Linked DNA regions of Nothobranchius furzeri. Each later gene encodes a partner of the first gene's protein in a complex. Links are inferred from orthologs where the notes say so. Each region holds a gene or a part of one and is shown in the gene's direction. Other genes may lie near its edges.

What was found.
Region 2: heterogeneous nuclear ribonucleoprotein Q-like (region 1) and dhx9 share a complex: the UniProt entries of both Homo sapiens proteins name them as parts of the coding region determinant (CRD)-mediated complex. The link is inferred for Nothobranchius furzeri from reciprocal best matches to the Homo sapiens genes SYNCRIP and DHX9.
Region 3: heterogeneous nuclear ribonucleoprotein Q-like (region 1) and hnrnpub share a complex: the UniProt entries of both Homo sapiens proteins name them as parts of the coding region determinant (CRD)-mediated complex. The link is inferred for Nothobranchius furzeri from reciprocal best matches to the Homo sapiens genes SYNCRIP and HNRNPU.
Region 4: heterogeneous nuclear ribonucleoprotein Q-like (region 1) and ybx1 share a complex: the UniProt entries of both Homo sapiens proteins name them as parts of the coding region determinant (CRD)-mediated complex. The link is inferred for Nothobranchius furzeri from reciprocal best matches to the Homo sapiens genes SYNCRIP and YBX1.
Region 5: heterogeneous nuclear ribonucleoprotein Q-like (region 1) and rpl13a share a complex: the UniProt entries of both Homo sapiens proteins name them as parts of the GAIT complex. The link is inferred for Nothobranchius furzeri from reciprocal best matches to the Homo sapiens genes SYNCRIP and RPL13A.

The regions. Positions count from the first base shown.
Region 1 is NC_091742.1:17,031,941-17,035,888, reverse strand, and holds the start of heterogeneous nuclear ribonucleoprotein Q-like, read left to right. Parts: upstream 1-1,140; 5' UTR 1,141-1,280; exon of another isoform or gene 1,281-1,293; intron 1,294-3,948. UniProt on the Homo sapiens protein: Heterogenous nuclear ribonucleoprotein (hnRNP) implicated in mRNA processing mechanisms. Component of the CRD-mediated complex that promotes MYC mRNA stability.
Region 2 is NC_091751.1:34,762,170-34,765,681, reverse strand, and holds part of dhx9 (ATP-dependent RNA helicase A), read left to right. Parts: intron 1-1,471; coding exon 1,472-1,633; intron 1,634-1,727; coding exon 1,728-1,805; intron 1,806-1,876; coding exon 1,877-2,068; intron 2,069-2,954; coding exon 2,955-3,096; intron 3,097-3,171; coding exon 3,172-3,254; intron 3,255-3,327; coding exon 3,328-3,484; intron 3,485-3,512. UniProt on the Homo sapiens protein: Multifunctional ATP-dependent nucleic acid helicase that unwinds DNA and RNA in a 3' to 5' direction and that plays important roles in many processes, such as DNA replication, transcriptional activation, post-transcriptional RNA regulation, mRNA translation and RNA-mediated gene silencing.
Region 3 is NC_091742.1:29,998,741-30,002,942, reverse strand, and holds the start of hnrnpub (heterogeneous nuclear ribonucleoprotein Ub), read left to right. Parts: upstream 1-1,391; 5' UTR 1,392-1,530; coding exon 1,531-1,957; intron 1,958-3,795; coding exon 3,796-3,910; intron 3,911-4,202. UniProt on the Homo sapiens protein: DNA- and RNA-binding protein involved in several cellular processes such as nuclear chromatin organization, telomere-length regulation, transcription, mRNA alternative splicing and stability, Xist-mediated transcriptional silencing and mitotic cell progression.
Region 4 is NC_091755.1:32,515,607-32,519,869, reverse strand, and holds the start of ybx1 (Y-box-binding protein 1), read left to right. Parts: upstream 1-1,452; 5' UTR 1,453-1,629; coding exon 1,630-1,735; intron 1,736-3,251; coding exon 3,252-3,315; intron 3,316-3,549; coding exon 3,550-3,583; intron 3,584-3,665; coding exon 3,666-3,755; intron 3,756-3,837; coding exon 3,838-4,116; intron 4,117-4,263. UniProt on the Homo sapiens protein: DNA- and RNA-binding protein involved in various processes, such as translational repression, RNA stabilization, mRNA splicing, DNA repair and transcription regulation.
Region 5 is NC_091758.1:28,903,980-28,908,016, reverse strand, and holds rpl13a (large ribosomal subunit protein uL13), read left to right. Parts: upstream 1-1,231; 5' UTR 1,232-1,300; coding exon 1,301-1,321; intron 1,322-1,927; coding exon 1,928-2,000; intron 2,001-2,482; coding exon 2,483-2,548; intron 2,549-2,586; exon of another isoform or gene 2,587-2,668; intron 2,669-2,747; coding exon 2,748-2,849; intron 2,850-3,012; exon of another isoform or gene 3,013-3,088; intron 3,089-3,180; coding exon 3,181-3,266; intron 3,267-3,446; coding exon 3,447-3,506; intron 3,507-3,695; coding exon 3,696-3,905; 3' UTR 3,906-3,942; downstream 3,943-4,037. UniProt on the Homo sapiens protein: Associated with ribosomes but is not required for canonical ribosome function and has extra-ribosomal functions.

The DNA.
Region 1 (3,948 bases):
TTATCAAACATGCTCACTTAGATTATTATTCAGTCAGAGTTACATCATATAATCCATTCGTTTCACTGAAAAAGGAGCAGGCAGAACTATGAACTTGTTTAGCCCGTCCAAGTAACATGGAAGAAAAAATACATGTATCTGTATGTAAATGTAGTTAAAATGTCTTCCCACAATAGCTCATGTAGATTCTGTCTGAGTTATACCATAAAAATCCTACAGTTCCACTAAAAGAGTATTTACCTGCAAACTAGCCTGTTAGCTCAGCTTTCTGCTGCTTCCTCTGTAGCAAGTTAGCAGTACACAGGTTAGCTCCAGTAGCTGCAAAGTCTCTGATGTTCCACAGGTTCCTGAAAAATTAGCAAACTTATTAACATAAACTGCAATAATTAATTCCATGAAACCAGTAATGAATATGTTAAGATGAATTTTTAATACGTCTCTCTGGAACAATAGACCATTGTCCTTAGGCTAGCACAATGCTTGCTTAGCAGCTAGCTAGTGAGCTAACGTCTGGTTAAAACCAACTTAAAAAGTGGCTTAATTTACAGATTAACTAAGAAAAGATCAAATATATCATCAATTGTCACTTTAGATCCTCAGTAGACACCACAGACAGCAGAAATAATGTGTTTGGGGCTCAAAATTCATGTTGTTGACCGAGGTGGGAAAAGAATGTCTTGGAGGCTACATCACTTCCGGGTCACTGAACAGTCACTCAAGAGAAACCACTGTCCTATAGGAGAGGACTTCTCAGAAGTCCCACCCACCCGAAAGGGTTGTGTCAGAATTGCAACCAAAAACTCAGGGATTGCAAAAGAGAAAGCCAGAAAGTTTAAGTGCAAATCTGGTAGTGAGAGCTAAGCTGTGTGCAGCGAGAACGAAACTAAGGAAACTGATAACAAAAACACATAGAGGCAAACAGAAAAAGGAAACATACTTTGTTACTCATTTTAAGAAGTTGATTCAGATCATAAGTTTTTCTTTTGAAACAATTTTTTTCTCTCGCAATGTCTTAATATTTGATCTTCAAAGTGTTTTTCTTGATCCTATTGGCACAAATCTAATCCCATAGCATCGCTCACCGGGCGGTGGTGAAACCGGAGGAGCCCCTGCGAAGGTCACTCAGAAGCCCCGTTTATGCTAAAATGAAGCAGCAGCGCTCGCGACGTTATACAGACGCCATTTTGTATCCCGGGTGTCAACCAAGAGATTACCCGCGCTAACGTTTCTCTTAATTTGGACTATCATCAACACGGCGGATCAGCATCGTGCACCCACAGGTAGCTTCGCGTGGTAGGTAGCAACAAACATGGTAGCCCCGAGTTTGGCTCGTGCACGCGCCTCTACAGCGTGCTGCTCGACCGGCTGTGCTAACCGGTCTTTTGAGGAAAGAATCGGACACGCGTCCATCGATGCCGTTATTGGGGTAATGCAGGGAAAGGAGAGCTTATGGCTCATAGCCAACAGTGTTTAATACATCACGGTACACGTTCTCCATTCACCGGTGTCGGCGCGGTAACTACCGAGGCCTACTACGGGGGAAGCAGTAGCTCAGGTGGTAGAGCGGATTGCCTCGTGATCGGAGGGTCATGGGTTCGATTCCAGCTCCCGCCAGGGGTATCCTGCTGTTGTGTCCTTGGGCAAGACACTTCACCCAACTTGCCTGTGTTAGTGGTGGTCAGAGGGGCCGACGGCGCCAAATGGCAGCCTCGCCTCTGTCAGACCTCCCCAGGGCGGCTGTGGCTACAAGTGTGTGAATGTGAGAGTGTGTGAAAGCGTCTTTGGGTGTCTAGAAAAGCGCTATATAAACTCAGTGCATTATTATTATTATTATTATTACTCGAGCCCCACGCGCTCTCAGGTGTGGTGAGTGTTGGTTTCAGCAGTTATGGTCCATTAGACCGGGTCGCTGCTCTGGGGCTACTTATCCATGTTTTTGTTTGTTTTAAACGACTCCGATCTGTCGCTGATGGGTTTTCAGTTTAGTAACGATCTAACCGGATCAGTGTGGTCAGACGATGTCCGCTGTCCAGCTCGATGGCGCCAAATACCGGCGGCTGTTGTCTGAAGTCACCCGGAAACAGATCAGTTAGCTGTGTTTAAACCAGTCTAGGATCACAACAGGTGTTATCGGTAGATTTACCCACTAACACAACAGTTAGGCCAGGGCAATCTAACGCTGGTCTTCCCGGGCCACCGTGTAGCATGTTTTGGTTGTTTTCCTGCTCCAACACACCTGGTTCAGTTCGCTTCCCTAAGAAACCAATTACTGGAGCAGACACACCAGAACGGTGGCCCTGGAGGACAAGGGTTAGACCATTGGACCAGGGTTATCAACTTTAAAGAGCAAGTCACCCCCAAATCTACTTCTTTTGCTGATACATTATATAAACTAGTGTCTAATCGGGCTGTAGACGCATGCAGTCAATAATTTGGGCCTTTAGTGTATCATACTTCAAATGTAAATAATATTCCTAAAACTCAGTGTCGCACCGTGTTCAGGTAAACACCCTGCACTGCAGCTGAATTTAAATCTGACATTGCTATTGGCTAAGAGGTACACCATGACGTTAGCTGGTACATTATGTCACAATGTTGTTGTGAACCTGTGTTCGTGTGTGTGTGCGTGCGCTAGGCAACAGCATTTGTTGCATTTTTCAAACAGGAAGTGGGAGTGGAGTAAGACTGATAAGATGTGACTGGATAAGAAAAGATTCATAATCAAACTAGTAAGTCAAGAGCATTGAGGGGGTTTATTCTGTCGTAAAAACTTTGTGTTCAGAGTTAGGGATGCATGTTCATACGATACGTATCGCGATACAGAGTAGAAAATATCGCGATACTAAAAGCTGAGGAATATTTCCGAGACTGAATTTAAATGAAAGAAGCATCATGGTAAACAGTCCAAACTGTTACATGTGCTGGTGCAACCAACGCAAAGGGATCTACATTTCATCACAGGAAATAAAAATTTGCCCTTTAACTGGGCGGTGTTTTAACTGGTAGAGTTGAGTTTCAGCTCAAACTGTACGACTTCCTTGCAGAGCAAGTCTCACGAGTTACGTGCTCACACTGTATGTCTGGTAGCGACATGTTGGGCCCACAAATATGCTAAAATCAGCTGTTTTTACACAACACGTCAGACTTATCGTATTATTAGGGATGCACGTAGTTAACTGCTTAATTGCCTTTAATGTTGTGACCAGGTAAACTAGTTTTTTCCAGTTAACTGTTTCAAGTCCTTCTGCTGTGCTTGGTGCAATATATTTTGTGCCACTAGAGGACGCAAGAGTGCCACTGTCAAATGGTTTACTGGGCGACCGCAGAAGAAGAAATGAGCTCATCACAAGACCTAACAAATGTGCTGAAACACAAGCGGTTATTAGAGTTAGCGGTTATTGTTTGTTCTTTCGTTATTTCATTCTTGGAGCACAAAAAGCCTCACATCAGAGCGCCGAGCCGAGACCAGCAGCAGGTCCGTCGGCCGTGACGCTCCTTATGCCTGATGCCTTATTTGTCCAGTACAATAAAGAAATTAAGTTTTCTTGCATTCAACTAAATAATTACACTAGGTGTTAAAACCGCGGCCAGACTGCACTTATCAGCACGTGATCACAAGCAGCGCTGCGTATCTGAGATCAGATGGTCCGCTGAGTCTGACGGACAATCCAGCTGTCATCCCACTCTCTTTACTTTTGTTCATAAACATAACGAGTGTGGGACTTAAGTCGTGAGTCATTGTATTAAAGAGTAGATGGAGAAAGTGTTATTCATAGAGCGAGGCAAATGTTTGGGGGGGGCTATTGACCGCTACGGAGCGTCGCTAGCCGGTTAAAGAAAGTTTGGTAAGCATACATCCCCAGTTGTTATTGTCCGTTGGGATCGCTGGAGGTTGGAGGAGGAAGACGATGAAAGTGAATCAACATCTTATCAGTTTAATCTGACAAA
Region 2 (3,512 bases), on another chromosome or scaffold:
ACTTTCCTCGCGGGGTCTCCCATAAAGACAGTGGGAGGTTTAAACAAGTTTTTATCCGTAGCTGTTTCTCATTACTAACGCTGGAGTTTGTGCCCTTCTGTCTCTGTCGGGTCTGTGAGAATGTAAAACAGCCTTTCAGACATAAACTTGTAAACAGAAGAAAATAAAACATCGTGATGCGGATCTTACACCATATGGCCCATTCCTACCACCCAAATAAATAATAACCCCTGTAATGTGATGAAGGAGCTATTCCACCGCAGGTTATTTACCCTCTCTCCTCGGTAAGAACTAATCTGCATGAGACTGCCTCAAGGACATGCATTTGCTTCTAAAACTGTTTCCTTTCCAGCTCAACAGAAGAAAGAAGATAAACTCTTTCTTTTTAATAAATCAAAGAACTCTATTTTTAATAAAGCTAATCAAACAAAGTGTTAGTCCAATAATAAAATGTGAACCAATCTGTGAAATGACAATGTTTAGGATCAGTGGTATTTTAATATTAATAAGTAATAAGACTTTAATCTAGCTGCACTAGACATCCTGATCCACATAATGCTTAAAGTCACATGACATTTTATCTTTCTCATCCAATCGGATCCTTCCTTTCTGAAGCGTGGCATGCTCTTTGTGGTGTTTATAAATCCGTCAAACTCTGATTCGACCGTAAATCAAAACATCCAGATTAATAAAACCAGTCCCCACGCCATCTTAGTTCAGTTCACCACATTCTAAGAGAAGTATCGGACCGGCCACCCGGACTTCCTTTATAAGCAAAGAATCGACAAGCTGGATAAATTCTGTTGCACTTTACAAACCAGGCAACGGTTCCTTCCAGAATAAAAGCTGAACTCACTGACCCTCAGGGTCCATCTGACGCTGTCAACCAACTATCGCTTTTTACCTGGAGACAATCCAAAGACTAGTCTGTCGTATCGCTGACGCTGTTTCATCGGCTCCGGTACCGGGGGGTCCGAGAACCTGGCATTCTGGATCTGTACGGAGGTCTCATCCTGAAGGGTATGTGTGGAGCGACAATATGGCGTCTTATGTGTTTATGAAACAACGATGGCTTAAGAGCAAAACATCACTTCCCACTCAGACTTGCTTCTCCGGATACGAGAGTTCTGATGACAACATCACTCACACATACACCATCCATCTCACGTCTCATTCACACCAAGATCCATTCATCACTTAGAGTTTAGAGTTAGTCTTGTTTAAAATTCTTTAAAATTGTGTAGAAATAAATCTTCTTAAACTTTTTAAAGGTGACTCTCTCTTCTCTTGTCTCTCAGTTAATACGAAGTGTTACATAATCCCTGCAATAAAAAGTTCCAATCTTCTGGTTTAAGTTATCCAAAGGTCCATTAGATTGATTTCATATTTCCTATAGAATTTCACATCTTATGGTTCATTAAATAGACGTACATTAAATCATTACCCCCCCATCCTGTTTGTTGTTCCCTAGCCCTCGGATCCCAGCTGCCCCGTGTCTCTGATCCAGGGCAAGATGGCCATGTTTGAGCCCTCTCAGCGCCAGAGCGCCGCCGGTGTCGTCCCCTGGTCTCCACCTCAGGTCAACTGGAACCCATGGACCAGCAGCAATATCGACGAGGGACCGCTGGCCTATGTAAGGCTTTACTCTGGACTGATGCTGGCTTTGTCCTCTGACCTGTAGCAGTCACCTGATCACTGTGTGATTCTAATGTGATCTAACCCACCAGTGCACCCCTGAGCAGATCAGTGGGGATCTTCACCAAGAGCTGATGTTCCAGCTGGAAAATGACGAGAACCTACAGAAGGTCTGTTTCTTCCTTGAGTGGAGTCAACTGTTAGAGGAAGGTGTTTACCAAACAACTCCCTTTATGTTCAGATCCTGTCAGAGCGTGAGCAGCTGCCCGTCAAAAGCTTTGAGGAGGAGATCATGGCAGCCATCGACCACAACCCTGTAGTGATCATCAGAGGAGCGACTGGTTGCGGAAAAACCACACAGGTCCCTCAGTACATCCTGGACAGCTTCATCAAGGGGGGCCGAGCGTCAGACTGCAACATCGTGGTTACCCAGGTAATGCTCAGTGATGACCTGTGACAACACGGTCACCATGGTAATTCTCTATTTAGGGCTTCAACCTTGTGGTTACCATGGTAACGCTCTTAAGATGGCCTGGGAGATGCAGAGGTGACTACCTGGAATCTGAGGATTGATGATTAGAATTTGTGTTTTTTAAAGCTTCAATCAGCTAATTTGTAGTTGATGATGATGTCATTGATGAAGTCATTACAGTAATCATCTTCTGGTCATTTTGCTTTGTTGAAAATTAAACCAAATCAAAACATCTGATCTCTAAAATTGCAGGAAATAACTTTTCCTCCTACACTGACATTTTGTTGATCAGCTGTTTGTTTACCTGTTTGTTTGTCTATCAGCTGTTTGTTTACCTGTTGTTTGTCTATCAGCTGTTTATTTACCTTTTGTTTGTTTATCAGCTGTTTGTTTACCTTTTGTTTGTCTATCAGCTGTTTGTTTACCTGTTGTTTGTCTATCAGCTGTTTGTTTACCTGTTGTTTGTCTATCAGCTGTTTGTTTACCTTTTGTTTGTTTATCAGCTGTTTGTTTACCTTTTGTTTGTCTATCAGCTGTTTGTTTACCTGTTGTTTGTTTGCCAGCTGTTTGTTTACCAGCTGATAGACAATCAGCTGTTTGTTTACCTGTTGTTTGTCTATCAGCTGTTTGTTTGCCTTTTGTTTGTCTATCAGCTGTTTGTTTGCCAGCTGTTTGTTTACCAGCTGTTTACCTGTTGTTTGTTTGCCAGCTGTTTGTTTATCAGCTGATAGACAATCAGCTGTTTGTTTATCAGCTTTTTGTTTACCTGTTGTTTTTCTATCAGCTGATTGTTTACCTGTTGTTTGTCTATTAGCTGATTGTTTAATGAGATCCTGGTCCCCTGCAGCCCCGGCGGATCAGCGCCGTGTCTGTGGCCGAACGAGTCGCCTACGAGAGAGGAGAGGATCTTGCGAAAAGCTGCGGTTACAGCGTTCGTTTTGAGTCGATGCTGCCCCGACCTCATGCCAGCATCCTCTTCTGCACCGTCGGTAGGAAGTCTCCCCGCTGCACTTTGGACCAGCCTCAATGGAGGTTGTGGGATTAATTCCCAGACTGTGTTTCAGGTGTTCTGCTGAGGAAGCTTGAAGCGGGAATCCGAGGAATCAGTCACGTCATCGTGGATGAGATCCATGAGAGAGACATCAATGTGAGCTCACCCTTCAGAAGGTTTTCAGATGAAAAAGTCACGTCTGAGATTTTCAGCTGTTTCTGTGCTTCAGACGGACTTCCTGATGGTGGTTCTCAGAGATGTGGTCCAAGCTTTCCCAGAGGTACGCGTCGTTCTCATGTCCGCCACCATCGACACCTCCATGTTCAGGGAATATTTCTTCAACTGCCCCGTCATCGAGGTGTTCGGGCGCACCTTCCCCGTTCAGGGTACTCGCCCAGTTTCTCCTGCTGGAGC
Region 3 (4,202 bases), about 13 Mb from region 1:
AAACAGCAGCCATTTTGGTCATGTGACTACTTCTTCATACCAAAGCAGGGTCTCGCTCTATGAGCTAGATACATTTGCCGACCCATCACTGGTTGAAAGGCAGTTTGCGTCTGTACATACATACATACATACATGCATGCATGCATGCATACATACATACATACATACATACATACATACATACATACATGCATACATACATACATGCGTACATACATACATACATGCATACATACATACATACATACATACATACATACATGCATGCATGCATGCATACATACATGCATACATACATACATACATACATACATACATACATACATACATACATACATACATACATACATACATACATACATACATACATACATGCGTACATACATACATACGTACATACATACATACAAACATACATGCGTACATACATACATACGTACATACATACATACATACATGCGTACATACATACATACATACAAACATACATACATACATACGTACATACATACATACAAACATACATACGTACGTGCGTACATACATACATACATACATACATACATACATACGTACATACATACATACAAACATACATGCGTACATACATACATACGTACATACATACATACATACATACATACATGCGTACATACATACATACATACATACATACATACATACATACATACGTACGTACGTACGTACATACATACATACATACATACATACATACATACATACATACATACATACATACATACATACATACGTGGTGCCTTGCAAAGGTATTCATACCCTCTGAACTTCTACATATTTTGACCACAAACTTCAATATTTTTATTGATATTTTCTTTGCTAGATCAACATAAAAAAGCACATAAGTGTGAAATGAAACATGGTTTTCAAAAATTTTAAGCAAATAAAAATATGAAAGTGTGTTGTGCATTTGTATTCAGCCCCCTGCATAAATACTTTGTGGACTCATCTTTTGCTGCAATTACAGCTGAATGGCTTTGGGGGGTGTCTCTTTGGGTTATGTCCCTACCAGCTTTCCACATCTAGAGCCTGAATGTTTTGCCCTTTGTTCAAGCAACAGGCGCAATAAAGGTAGAGGCAACAAAACACAGCTTGAAGCAGATGGTGTGATTAGATAGATTATTGATAATGAGTTGTTATTAGTCTACCTGGTCATCTGTAAATGATGTAAGGGGTTTGACAGTCTTGTTTTAGGTGCCCCGTTTAAACTTGGGGCACCCGTCTCTCATCTCTGCACTGCCCTGTTCTTGTTCCAGTTTTAATACCGTGGTGGCTCTGGCTCGACTGTGCTGCTTTTAGGATCATTACGGTAGTGGTTAGCGCTCTGCTCCCCCTCCCGCCGCCGAGGCTGGCTCATCAGCTCCCTCTCCGTTGGTGAAAGGTTGGATCGCGCGTAACGTTTGGCGTCGTTTCGAGCAACATCTACTAACAAAGTGCACGTTATTGTTTATTTGTCGACGTATTTTAGTAGTTTGTCGTTAAACGTCCACAATGAGCACGATTAACGTGAAGAAGCTTAAAGTAAACGAGCTAAAAGACGAGCTCAAGAAACGAAACCTATCAGACAAGGGGCTGAAGGCCGATCTGATGGACCGCTTGCAGGCCGCGCTGGACGAGGAGGCCCTCGCTGGAGACTCGGCCGCTCAGGATGTGGCGACGGACGAGCAGGCCGCGGACATCCAGGAGGGTATGGGGGAGGAAGAAGAAGGCCCGGTAGAGGAGAGCATGGAGGCCAACGAGGGAGAAGAGCCGGCGAATGACGGCGACGGGAACGGTGTGTCGGTGGACGAGGAGATGGGTGAGGGGGAAGAGGAAGGTGACGAGGAGGACGAGATGGATCCCATGCTAAAGGAGGATGTAGACGACATGGAGAAAATTGACACAGAAGATGGTGAGCCCGGCGATCACGCTACTGAGGGTGAGAAGAAACAATACGCTATGAAAATGATTTGTTGGATGAACCGTGGCTGGGTGTCATTTTGTGGGGGGAGGTGGGAACTGTAGCGTAGATTTGAATGCTTTTCCGTAAGGGAGGGGTAGCCGGTTGTTACCGCTTATCATGGCGTCCATGTTGAGTCAGTCAGCGTGATTCAGGCTAGTTAGCATTAGCCAACGCCTTGGTTACAATAATTTAAATGTACGATTCTCTAACCCAGTTTACCAACGGATAGTAGGTTAATTGACACGGACTAACTAAGGAACATGCTTATAAATAATTCTTAAGAAATTAATTTGTTATTTTTCTCTTGTGTCGCTTGATAGTAGCACGCTAGTTAGCATCGTTTTTCCTTTGTATCGGTCTGCGCTAGCTAGCCGTGTTAGCCATTTCAGAGGTTCCCATCACGCTTTAGTCGGTTTTCCTCTCGCCAAGGCTTCATCTGGACTACGTTTGATCAGCTCTAGTTCAGAACTACAGCACGTAGACGAGGCGGGAGGGGGCTAAAGTAATTCTTTAATACATATAAAAACTAAAACGTGTTCTGTTTTCAGAACAGGATCAGTTCTTACGTGCTCCAGTCGCAAAAACACAAATTACTGAAGACAATTTTAGTTTTTAGATTTTTTTAATGAGTGGGTCCAAACGTGGTCTAAATCCCCCATGCGTTACATTTTCTACCTCTGATCAACTAGGAGTGGCACACATTACTGATGAAGTTTTCTACAAGGACCGCTTCTGATCTGGTCCAGAGATCAGCAAGGCACCAGAGTCTGTCACCTTGCTTCATATGACTGGTTCTGATGTGGTCCCGTTATCAATAACACTTTAGTCTTACTGAATGATTAACGGTTTCACAAACTCCATTTGGTAGCACTTTTAGCTTTTAGCAAGGTTCACATCCCAGCTCCAGCCTTTCTGCATGGAGTTAGCTTGTTCTCCGCGTGCATGTGTGGGTTTCCATGGTTTCCTTCCGCAGGTCAGTGCATGTCAGCTTCAAACTGTTAGTCCAGATGTCTGCGTGTTTTTGGGCTGGACCACTTTGAGTTGCCCATAAGAACTAAATTGTCCCAGTCTTGGACTGTATGTGATTGATTAAATTATTAAAGATTCTATCTAGTGTAGACGAGTGAAGTCCAGAATCGTGTTTAGCCGGATCAAAAGCCAACACTAGCATCAGGTCTGGTTATGAGGTGCAGATGTTTGAAGGAAGAGCCTCAGCAGGCTGATGTAAAAGACCTGAAGCTGTATTTGGGTGTTAGTTTGGGTTATGAGCTTGGGAACCTCTGAACTTGCTAACCCAGCGCTTTGCAGAAGAACGGAGTGGCCTACAACTTTCCTGATACGTCCATCGTGTGTTTTCGATTTGAAATACAAGCGTGATATTAAAGGGTATACATACATTTTTATTTACATATCATCCTTTTCTTTAGCGGGGGGTGTCATTGGGCTTTAGGTAGGTTTCCCTGCATGGTTAACTCCCCCTGATGCAGTAGACCCTCATCTAGGACTAGAGGACTTGTATCTGAAGGGTTCTTACCCTTTCACGACCCCTTTTCCAGCCCCATCAAGCTCTGCTGCTGCTGTTCATTTGGGCCAGTTCATGCTGTAATTACTACCTGGTCTTACCAGTTGTTACAAGTCATGTAATATGATTGTACTGTTTTAAATGTAACTATGAGGTGTTTCCTCTTGGTAATCATGCTAGACGCAATGTAAATAATGAACGGGCTTCGTGGGCCAGAACCCCACTGCCAGTCCGACCTCTCTCTCTCTCAAAAAGGAGCACCTCATTCTATATCTTTGTTCTATTTTCAAAGGAGATGCGGACAAAGACACGAATGCTGATCAGAAGAATAAGAAGGGTGTTAAGAGACGCCGGGAGGAACATGGAAGGGGCTACTTTGAATTTATTGAAGAGAACAAATACAGCTGGTAAGGATGGGACAGAGCCGAGGTGGCCTTCAGCATCCCTGAAGCGCCATCCAAGCTTTGTTGAACTGTATTGGCTTTAAGTGCCAATGCACATAACTAGCAAGAGGTAAAGCCTCGTTTGAAGTATTCTATCATATATTTATGATATAACCTTTCACACATGTGTTTGAGGGTCATCCCTGAATAGCTAAAGCCTTACCATTTACCTTTTTACACTCACATTGTGTCTTTAACGACTGCATTCTGTAGCAGAAGTGCATCTATCAATCTCATATCTGTTCCTCATGCCACC
Region 4 (4,263 bases), on another chromosome or scaffold:
CATCTTAATCCATTCCAGAAAGGACCCCCCAAAACCAAAGGCCCGTAGCCTCTCATTAAAAATAAATTGTCCATTAATTACTTTCCTGGTATTCAAAAGGACTGATCGTCTGGGATTAGACCTCCGATGAATCCCCAAAGTCTGTTTGATAAGAATTTAGAAAAAATCTTATTGTCTGAACATAACAAGGAAACTGGTCTCCAGTATTTTAGTTGGGTTAAGTCCCCTTTTTCGGCAGCAGGGACAGAACGCCCCACCTACACGATGCAGGAAGTGCTCCTGTCTGAAGTGAGTCTTTAAAAACATCCATCAGGTCCTGTCCCATACTGCTCCAGTAGAATTTGTAGAAGTCAGCAGGTAAGCCATCTATCCCCAGAGATTTTCCTGCAGCCATCTGGGAGACTGCCGTTGTAAGCTCCTCCATGGTTATGTCTGCATTTAAGATGTCTTGGTCTGCTGTGGTCAAGGAAGGGAGCCCCTGCAACAGCTCTCTGGCACAGTTCACATCACATGGCCTTAAATAGGCTGGTATAGAATTCTCCTGCATACTTCCTCATCTCCACTGGGTCTGTGGATAACTGTCCATCTGACAGACGAAGAGCAACCATTTGTTTTTTTCTGGTTTGAAAGTCTTTTCCAGGTTAAAAAAGAAGGATGTTGGAGCATCCATGTCCTGTAATGTGGTGAAACGAGCCCGGATCAAGGCCCCTTTGGCCCTCTCTTGCACGAAATGCCCAAGCTGTTTTTTTTTTTTACCAGAGACATAAAATCTGTCTAATCTAGCAGCACTAACTCCGAGAGAGAGAGAGAGAGAGAGAGAGAGAGAGAGAGAGAGAGAGAGAGAGAGAGAGAGAGAGAGAGAGAGAGAGAGAGAGAGAGAGAGAGAGAGAGAGAGAGAGAGAGAGAGAGAGAGAGAGAGAGAGAGAGAGAGAGAGAGAGAGAGAGAGAGAGAGAGAGAGATTAACCGCATGCGCTTCACACATTGGCCTGTGCTTGTAAAGGGTGCCAGTGGTGCATGAACATAATATGAGTGGATTCTGCAGTTACCTTTGTCTTTACCTGCTAATATTTATGGGGTGTTTATTTGTCTTTTCTTAGAATGTTCCCACGGTAAACATCACAATAGTAGTAATTATTTCAACTATCTAGAAACGACAAAATAAATTAAACATAAAGTTGTCACATTTGCAACATACCACATGTATGGTTCACAGTTTTGTATGACATAATTCAAAATGCATAATACTATCGGAAGTGTCACAAGCAGAATTCTCTCGCTTTTACGTCACTGGGGGCGTTGAGACTTCTGTACGTCTTTTTGACCAATAATTTCATCAAAGGCTTTGCTCAAAAAAGATTGACAGTCTCAATAGCCAATTGGAAGGAGATTTGTTCAATTCTACATATTTTAGCTAATCAGGAGACGAGATGGGCGGGTCTTCGCCTGGGAACATTCCCCTGCACTGTCTCTTGTTCTGCCCAGTTCGATCGGCAACGGGAGCGGAAAGAAGAAAGCTGAGAGCCCGAAGGCAGTAGCCCCCACCACCGCCGGCCCAGGTTACCATCTAGCACCGGGAAAAATATCAGAGAGCCGCCGCCGGCTGAAGCCATTACCAACGAGTAGTAACCATGAGCAGCGAGGCCGAGACGCAACAACCTCCACAGCCTGCTGCGGATGCGGAGAGCCCATCCAGCCCGGCACCCGCAGCTTCCGCGGGGGATAAGAAGGTCATCGGTAAGAATTCTTAGGCTAGCCGAGCCGGAGTTATCATTTATAATTTATACGCTCTTGGGTGTGGATGTAGCATTTGAATAAAAGCTGCCGTTCTTGCGTGAGAATTTCAGCCACGTCAAATTAATTTGCTCCAGTTGGTAAACGTTAGTGCCAGTTGACGGATAAATTCTTCACTCCTTTGGGCATTCTTATTATAATGGTCCAAAAAATTCAATCTAACGGTTTTTATTAGTCTAGTTTCTAAAAATTGAGTGGTTTATTCACAGATTAAATCGTGAATTCCATTCTGATTATCTCCATTGCTCATCGGCCTCCTCACGTCAAATATCCGTTTGAGAGTCGCGTGTATCCGGCCGGTCATCACATGGATGCTCGCTGTCACTTCCAACCGTTGCCAGAACCACGATGTTTTGACTAGGGTTTAATAACTGCATAACTGCATCTGGACCGCCAATAATTGCAGAACAATCCTACCAAATGCTCTATAACACCGGTTCATGTGAAATAACTACAGTGGCTACGAACGTTAGCTGCTTAACCATCTCTTTGTTCGCACGAAAGAGTCTTGATTCCATGTCAAGGCATTTTATCTAAAATATTCTCCTTTTCCAAAGCGTTCAGTCCCGATTTTTTTGGCCAAATTGTCAGAAGAAACGTTGTTGGCTAGCGACTCCAGCTACATCCGTCAATGGCGGTCTTATTTTGGTTGAATTTGCGTGCTGTCGGTGTGGCCTAAATACTTTACTATAGATCATCGGTTGCTAACCTAGCTACATTAGCCTAGCCAGCTAAGTGGCTATTTACATGGCTTTAGGGGAGGCCGTCCAAAATGTCCGCCGTGTGTTTTCCCGTTTTTTCCCGCTGCTTTGTAATTTGTTCGCTAAAAACTAATTCAAAACCGAAATCTTTATCATATATACCAATAAATACGGATTAATGTAGTTTAGTAATGCGCGTTTGTTTGTTTCTCTTTGCTGGCTCTACTCCAACCACATGGTACTAACCTTAGCCACACAGCCATGCTAATAGCCAGCAGAGCACAGCTCACAGCTCGTTAACGTATCCGGGTGCGACCCAACCACGTGTGAACCTTCAGGTTCTGCGTCCTAAAATGGAGCAGCAGGTCTGCAGTAACTAAACATGCGAGTGCAGAGACTGGTCGCTGTTTGCATCCTCATCTTTGTCATGCATTATGGGACATTTTGGATGCGTCATTTGGGACAGTTGTTGTATCGTTACTGGGATATTTTCTTACTGGTGGCTCATGTTAGGAGCAGCTGGCCCTGGGGTCTCCTAAGCATCAGTGTCTATAATAGGAGTGACAGTTGCGGGTTAAATATAACCTCTACGTTATGTGTGGCCATAGTTTTTAATGTTTTTATAGTTCTGATGTAGTTCGTTAAGTGTCCCATCATGATGGAAGCGTTTCAGTTTCACTTAAGCTATATGGATTTGTTCTAAATGCATGTCAGGCAGACGATGGTATTTAATAATCTTGTTCTGACTGTGATTGCAGCAACAAAAGTCTTGGGTACAGTCAAATGGTTCAACGTCAGGAATGGATATGGTTTCATCAATAGGTGAGTCACCTGTTGGTCCCTGTGTCAAAGTACATTTCTGGGTGTGGGTGAGAGTGAAGCATGCTAATCCTATTAAGTTATGCTTTGCGTACTTGGCTGACCATATTATTTTTCTGCTCATCTCCATCCTGTTGCAACCCACAGAACTTAATTAATCCCCACTGGCTTAGTTTTAAGTCTGTTTGCAGAGGCTCAGCAGAATGCAGCTAACTAAGATTCTGTTCTTTTGTCTAGGAACGATACAAAGGAAGATGTTTTTGTACACCAGGTCAGTTGTTGCTTTAGTTTTTATTCATTTATTGAAATTTGTGGTTAAGCAGACTTGACATTCAAACTATTTGTAATTTCAGACGGCCATAAAAAAGAACAACCCAAGGAAATATCTTCGCAGTGTTGGGGACGGAGAAACTGTGGAGTTTGATGTAGTTGAGGGAGAAAAAGTAAGTTTCTTTGATTTGTTTGTTTAAAGGACATTGTGTTCCATCATGATTAATTTACTTTGCCTTTTTTTCTTGTGCACAGGGAGCAGAGGCAGCAAATGTCACTGGCCCAGGAGGAGTTGCAGTCCAGGGGAGTAAGTACGCTGCTGACAGGAACCGTTACAGACGCTACCCACGAAGGAGGGGGCCTCCCCGTGGAGGAGACTATCCAGAGAACTACCAGAGCGACGAGGGAGAGCCTGGCAGTGGAGGACGTGACAAAGGCAGCAGAGAGGGTGGAGATAACATCCCTGATGGAGATTCGCAGCAACCACAGCGCAGACCAGCGTACCCTGGCAGACGGCGCTACCCACCATATTTTGTACGTAGTCGCTACGGCCGCAGGCCCCATACACCCAACGCACCACGCAGAGATGACTGAGGTACGCTGTCACAGGGCTAAAATCCTGAAACAGTCACCCAGTTGTCCCATTCCAAAATTAAAACCCTTTGTTGTAGACGAGCTACT
Region 5 (4,037 bases), on another chromosome or scaffold:
TTCAATTGGGTGAAGCAATCACCTTAAAAAGGTGTGGATACGTGGAAATATTTTTTTTCTTTTTCTAAAGACAAACATTTTAGTAAAACTGAGTCATTCAGAATAGAAGATGGAGGTCACCAATTAGAGAAATATTTTTTTCGCAGGTACTGGGACATTTTTCAACTATAGCTCATATTTAACTTGATTGTAAATCAAATGACACTGGGACTATTATCAGAACTGTTCAGTCCTGTTTAGGGTCACTACCTGCATGCTCATCAGCACCAAAACACCTGGTTTGATTTAAGATATGATTAGTGCTGAAGACTTGATTAGAAAACTGAATCAGGTGTGATGGAGTAGTGAAACAGCAAAAGCATGTACAGCTATGGCCCTAGGACCCTAATCAGATTTCAGATTCAGATTTATTGGCCAAGTAAAATTACATTTACAAGGAATTTGTCTTTGGTAGATGTTCGCTCTCTAAAACAGACAACAACCACAATAAATGAGAATAAAAATACCTAAAAACACATAAGAACATGTATACCCACACACATGTTCATTTACACACACACATATATACATACCCCCCCCCCCCCCACACACACACACACTCACACACACACGCACATCCATAAGCATACTGAATAAGCATTAAAAACTACAATAATAGGATGGTAAAAGAATCTACAGATTCAGGAGAGAAATGGCTGACGGAAAGAAACTGTTCTTGTGTCTGGTAGTTTTTGTGTACAGTGATCTATAGCGTCTGCCAGATGGGAGGAGATGGAAGAGAGTAGATGCAGGATGTGTGGCATCTTGGACAATATTCACTGCCTTTTTCCTGGTCCTGCTGATGTACAGTTCCTGGACAGAGGGCAGTTGGGCACCAATGATTTTTCCTGCTGTTTTAATAATACGCTATAGTCTGCATTTGTCCATTTTTGTGGCTGACCCAAACCAGACAGTGATGGATGAGCAAAGTATGGATTCGACTGCAGCAGTGTAGAAGATGATCAGCAGCTCTTGTGGTAGGCCATACCACGGCTATGGCCCTAGGACCCTAATTGAATAACATTGGACTATTTGAATAGAAGTATTGTGTAATCAGATTTTAAATTGGTCCAATCAATGCTTTTAAATTATTACAAATAAACCCCAAACGTTCTCTTCGATCAGAAGCATTTATGTTTGGTTGGATGGCGCTAGACTGTTCCTCAGTCATCCCACGAAGAAGAAAAATATCGTTCCGTCACTTCCTGCCACCCCTGCATTTTACCACGGGCAACCCCGTTGCTCTTTCTTTTCGCACGTCATGGCGGACCGGTTCAATAAGGTAAGCTGCTGTTGCGAGGAAATAAAATATATTATTCTACATTTAGCCAACTACAATACGCAATCTGTTTAGTCAGAATGGCTTATAACAGCGTTATATTTCTAAACGTATTCAGTACTTGTGTCCGTCTTGTCTGCAAGACTCGTTTTTTAACACTTGGATCAGTTAGCGGTAGCTATTTGAGCATGCCTTCATCATGGCAGCTTCCCCGCTGAGGCAGTGGCTTATGGTTAGCTTGTTAACAGTTTTTGTGAAAATGAGAATCAAATTGAAAATTAATCAACTGTCGTATAAAATAAAGAGACTGCTATATATCTGTGCAATACTCAAAACGTTTATTTCAGAAACAAGCTTACGTGTGAGCTACGGGTGTTTTAGCCGCGAGTGTTCCATGTGCTAGCTTTGAAATGCACATGAAAAAGACTACGATACAGTGTCACAATCAACAGTTCTTAAACGTCTTAGTAATTTTTACTCAAATGGTTTAATGTCTTGTTCGCTTAACGATCAGACATTATGAATATGCTTAGTTGATAATAGTACGCTTTTTAGGGCAAAGTCAGGCAGTCAGCCAAAGTTTAAAAAATGTACATCTACATTCTACAGGTTCTGCTAATAGATGGCAGGGGCCATCTACTTGGCCGACTGGCTGCCATTGTGGCTAAACAGGTCCTCCTGGGTAAGTTGTTTCTTAAGGATGTGAATAAAGTATGCTCATTTGAACTGCAGTAGACATTTAACCACACATCAAGAATTACTAACAAATAAGATAATTAACACTGTTTGACCAAGGTCCATGGGTTTTATGCTGTCGAGGGGATTGACTTGGTTGGAAATATTAGCAATTATGCTTCCAAATTCGATATGACCTGTTACTGGGAAAACCAATTTAATGCAAGTCTTTGCATGCACAGCTTGTATTGCATTTTATTGTATTCCTATTAAAAGTGTTCATGACTGTTTGCTACCCTTGTGTGATGCTGCATGTTCCTGGCATGAATGCAAACATGGAAGCAGATGTCTAATGTGAAATAGGACTCGCCCAGAATTTAGCACTATCATTTTAACTGTGAAAAAATGTTCTATCGCAAATGGAGAATGACATTTATAACCAACGATTTAAGGAATGTGTCCAACCAGCCTTTAATCTTTCTTTTGTAGGCCACAAAGTAGTGGTGGTAAGATGTGAAGGCATCAACATATCTGGAAACTTCTATCGCAACAAGCGTAAGTAAAACATAAAATAAGTTTTTCTCTTAAGATGTGCTCGTCAATGATGATTTAATGATATTATTCGAGTTTCACTGACCATGAGACTATCTTACATGCACTACCATCTGAGACACCAGCATTGTTTACTAGTAAGACATTAAGTTTAGTAAGTAGTCTGCCTGTGATTTACTGTGGTGTTTGTGTCCACCAACAGTGAAGTATCTGGCTTTCCTGCGCAAGAGGATGAACACCAATCCCTCACGTGGGCCGTACCACTTCAGAGCTCCCAGCAGGATCTTCTGGAGGACTGTCAGAGGTGGGATTGTGGCTCAGGTTAAGAAGTTTACATTTGTGTAAATATAAACAAATGCTTGAAGTTTAATTACAGATTCAGTCGTTGGGTTTTGTTTAGAACTTTCAATGAAGGGACCTTAGTGGTGCAGGTGATTGCAGTTTCAGTTTACATGTTCTAAGTTGCTTGACTGTGATGAGCTCTTTATCCCGAATCTGAACATCTATTGATGAAACAAACACTTCGGATCTGACTTCTGAGTTAAGCAACAGCGTTTTTGGACTTCTGCTAATGTCATACTCGAGGGTGTTTCCCTTATTTTTGTTTTTTACCTTGTATTTTTTTCTCTCTCAAGGCATGCTTCCCCACAAAACCAAGAGAGGCCAGGCTGCTCTGGACAGGCTGAAGGTGTTTGATGGTATCCCCCCTCCTTATGACAAGGTATGTGTCTTTATTTATGTAGCGTTTGAAATTTGGCTGTCGGTGATTACTTTTATCTCCCTTCTTTGAATTTACCATGAAAAGGGAACAAGATCTTGACTGAGACATGCCACGTTACCAAGTGAAATACTTTCTGAAGCTGCAGTTTTTACTTTTTCTAACGTGGATTTTGTTTTTTAGAGAAAGCGTGTGGTTGTGCCAGCTGCTCTGAAAATTGTGCGCCTGAAGCCCACTCGTAAGGTGAGTTGTGAACAAAAGTTTTTCATCAGATTTTTGCTCTTAGTTTGGCTGTTGGTGATGTTTCATGACTTCGCTTCCTTCGTTGAATTTAATGAAAAGTAATCCTAACTGAAACATGCCATTGTATGTTTTATTTCCCTGCTCTCAGCTAAATTTATTTTACTATTTAATTTCCTTTTTTCTTTTCAGTTTGCTCTGCTCGGGCGTCTGGCACACGAGGTTGGCTGGAAGTACCAGGCCATCACAGCCACTCTGGAGGAGAAGAGAAAAGAGAAGGCCAAGCTCCGCTATTCCAAGAAAAAGACACTGGTCAAGCTGACCAAGCAGGCGGAGAAGAACGTTGAGAAGAAAATCGCCGTATACACAAACGTTCTGAAACAATATGGTGTACTTGTCTAACCTGGGTTTTCATGGCCAATAAAGATAATTAAATGTTTATAGAAAGTGTCTTGTTTTTCAGTGGTTGCTTAAAGTAATTGTACATAATGAGTTGAAAAAACTACTGTGATGGACAAGCAACTTGTCCAGGGT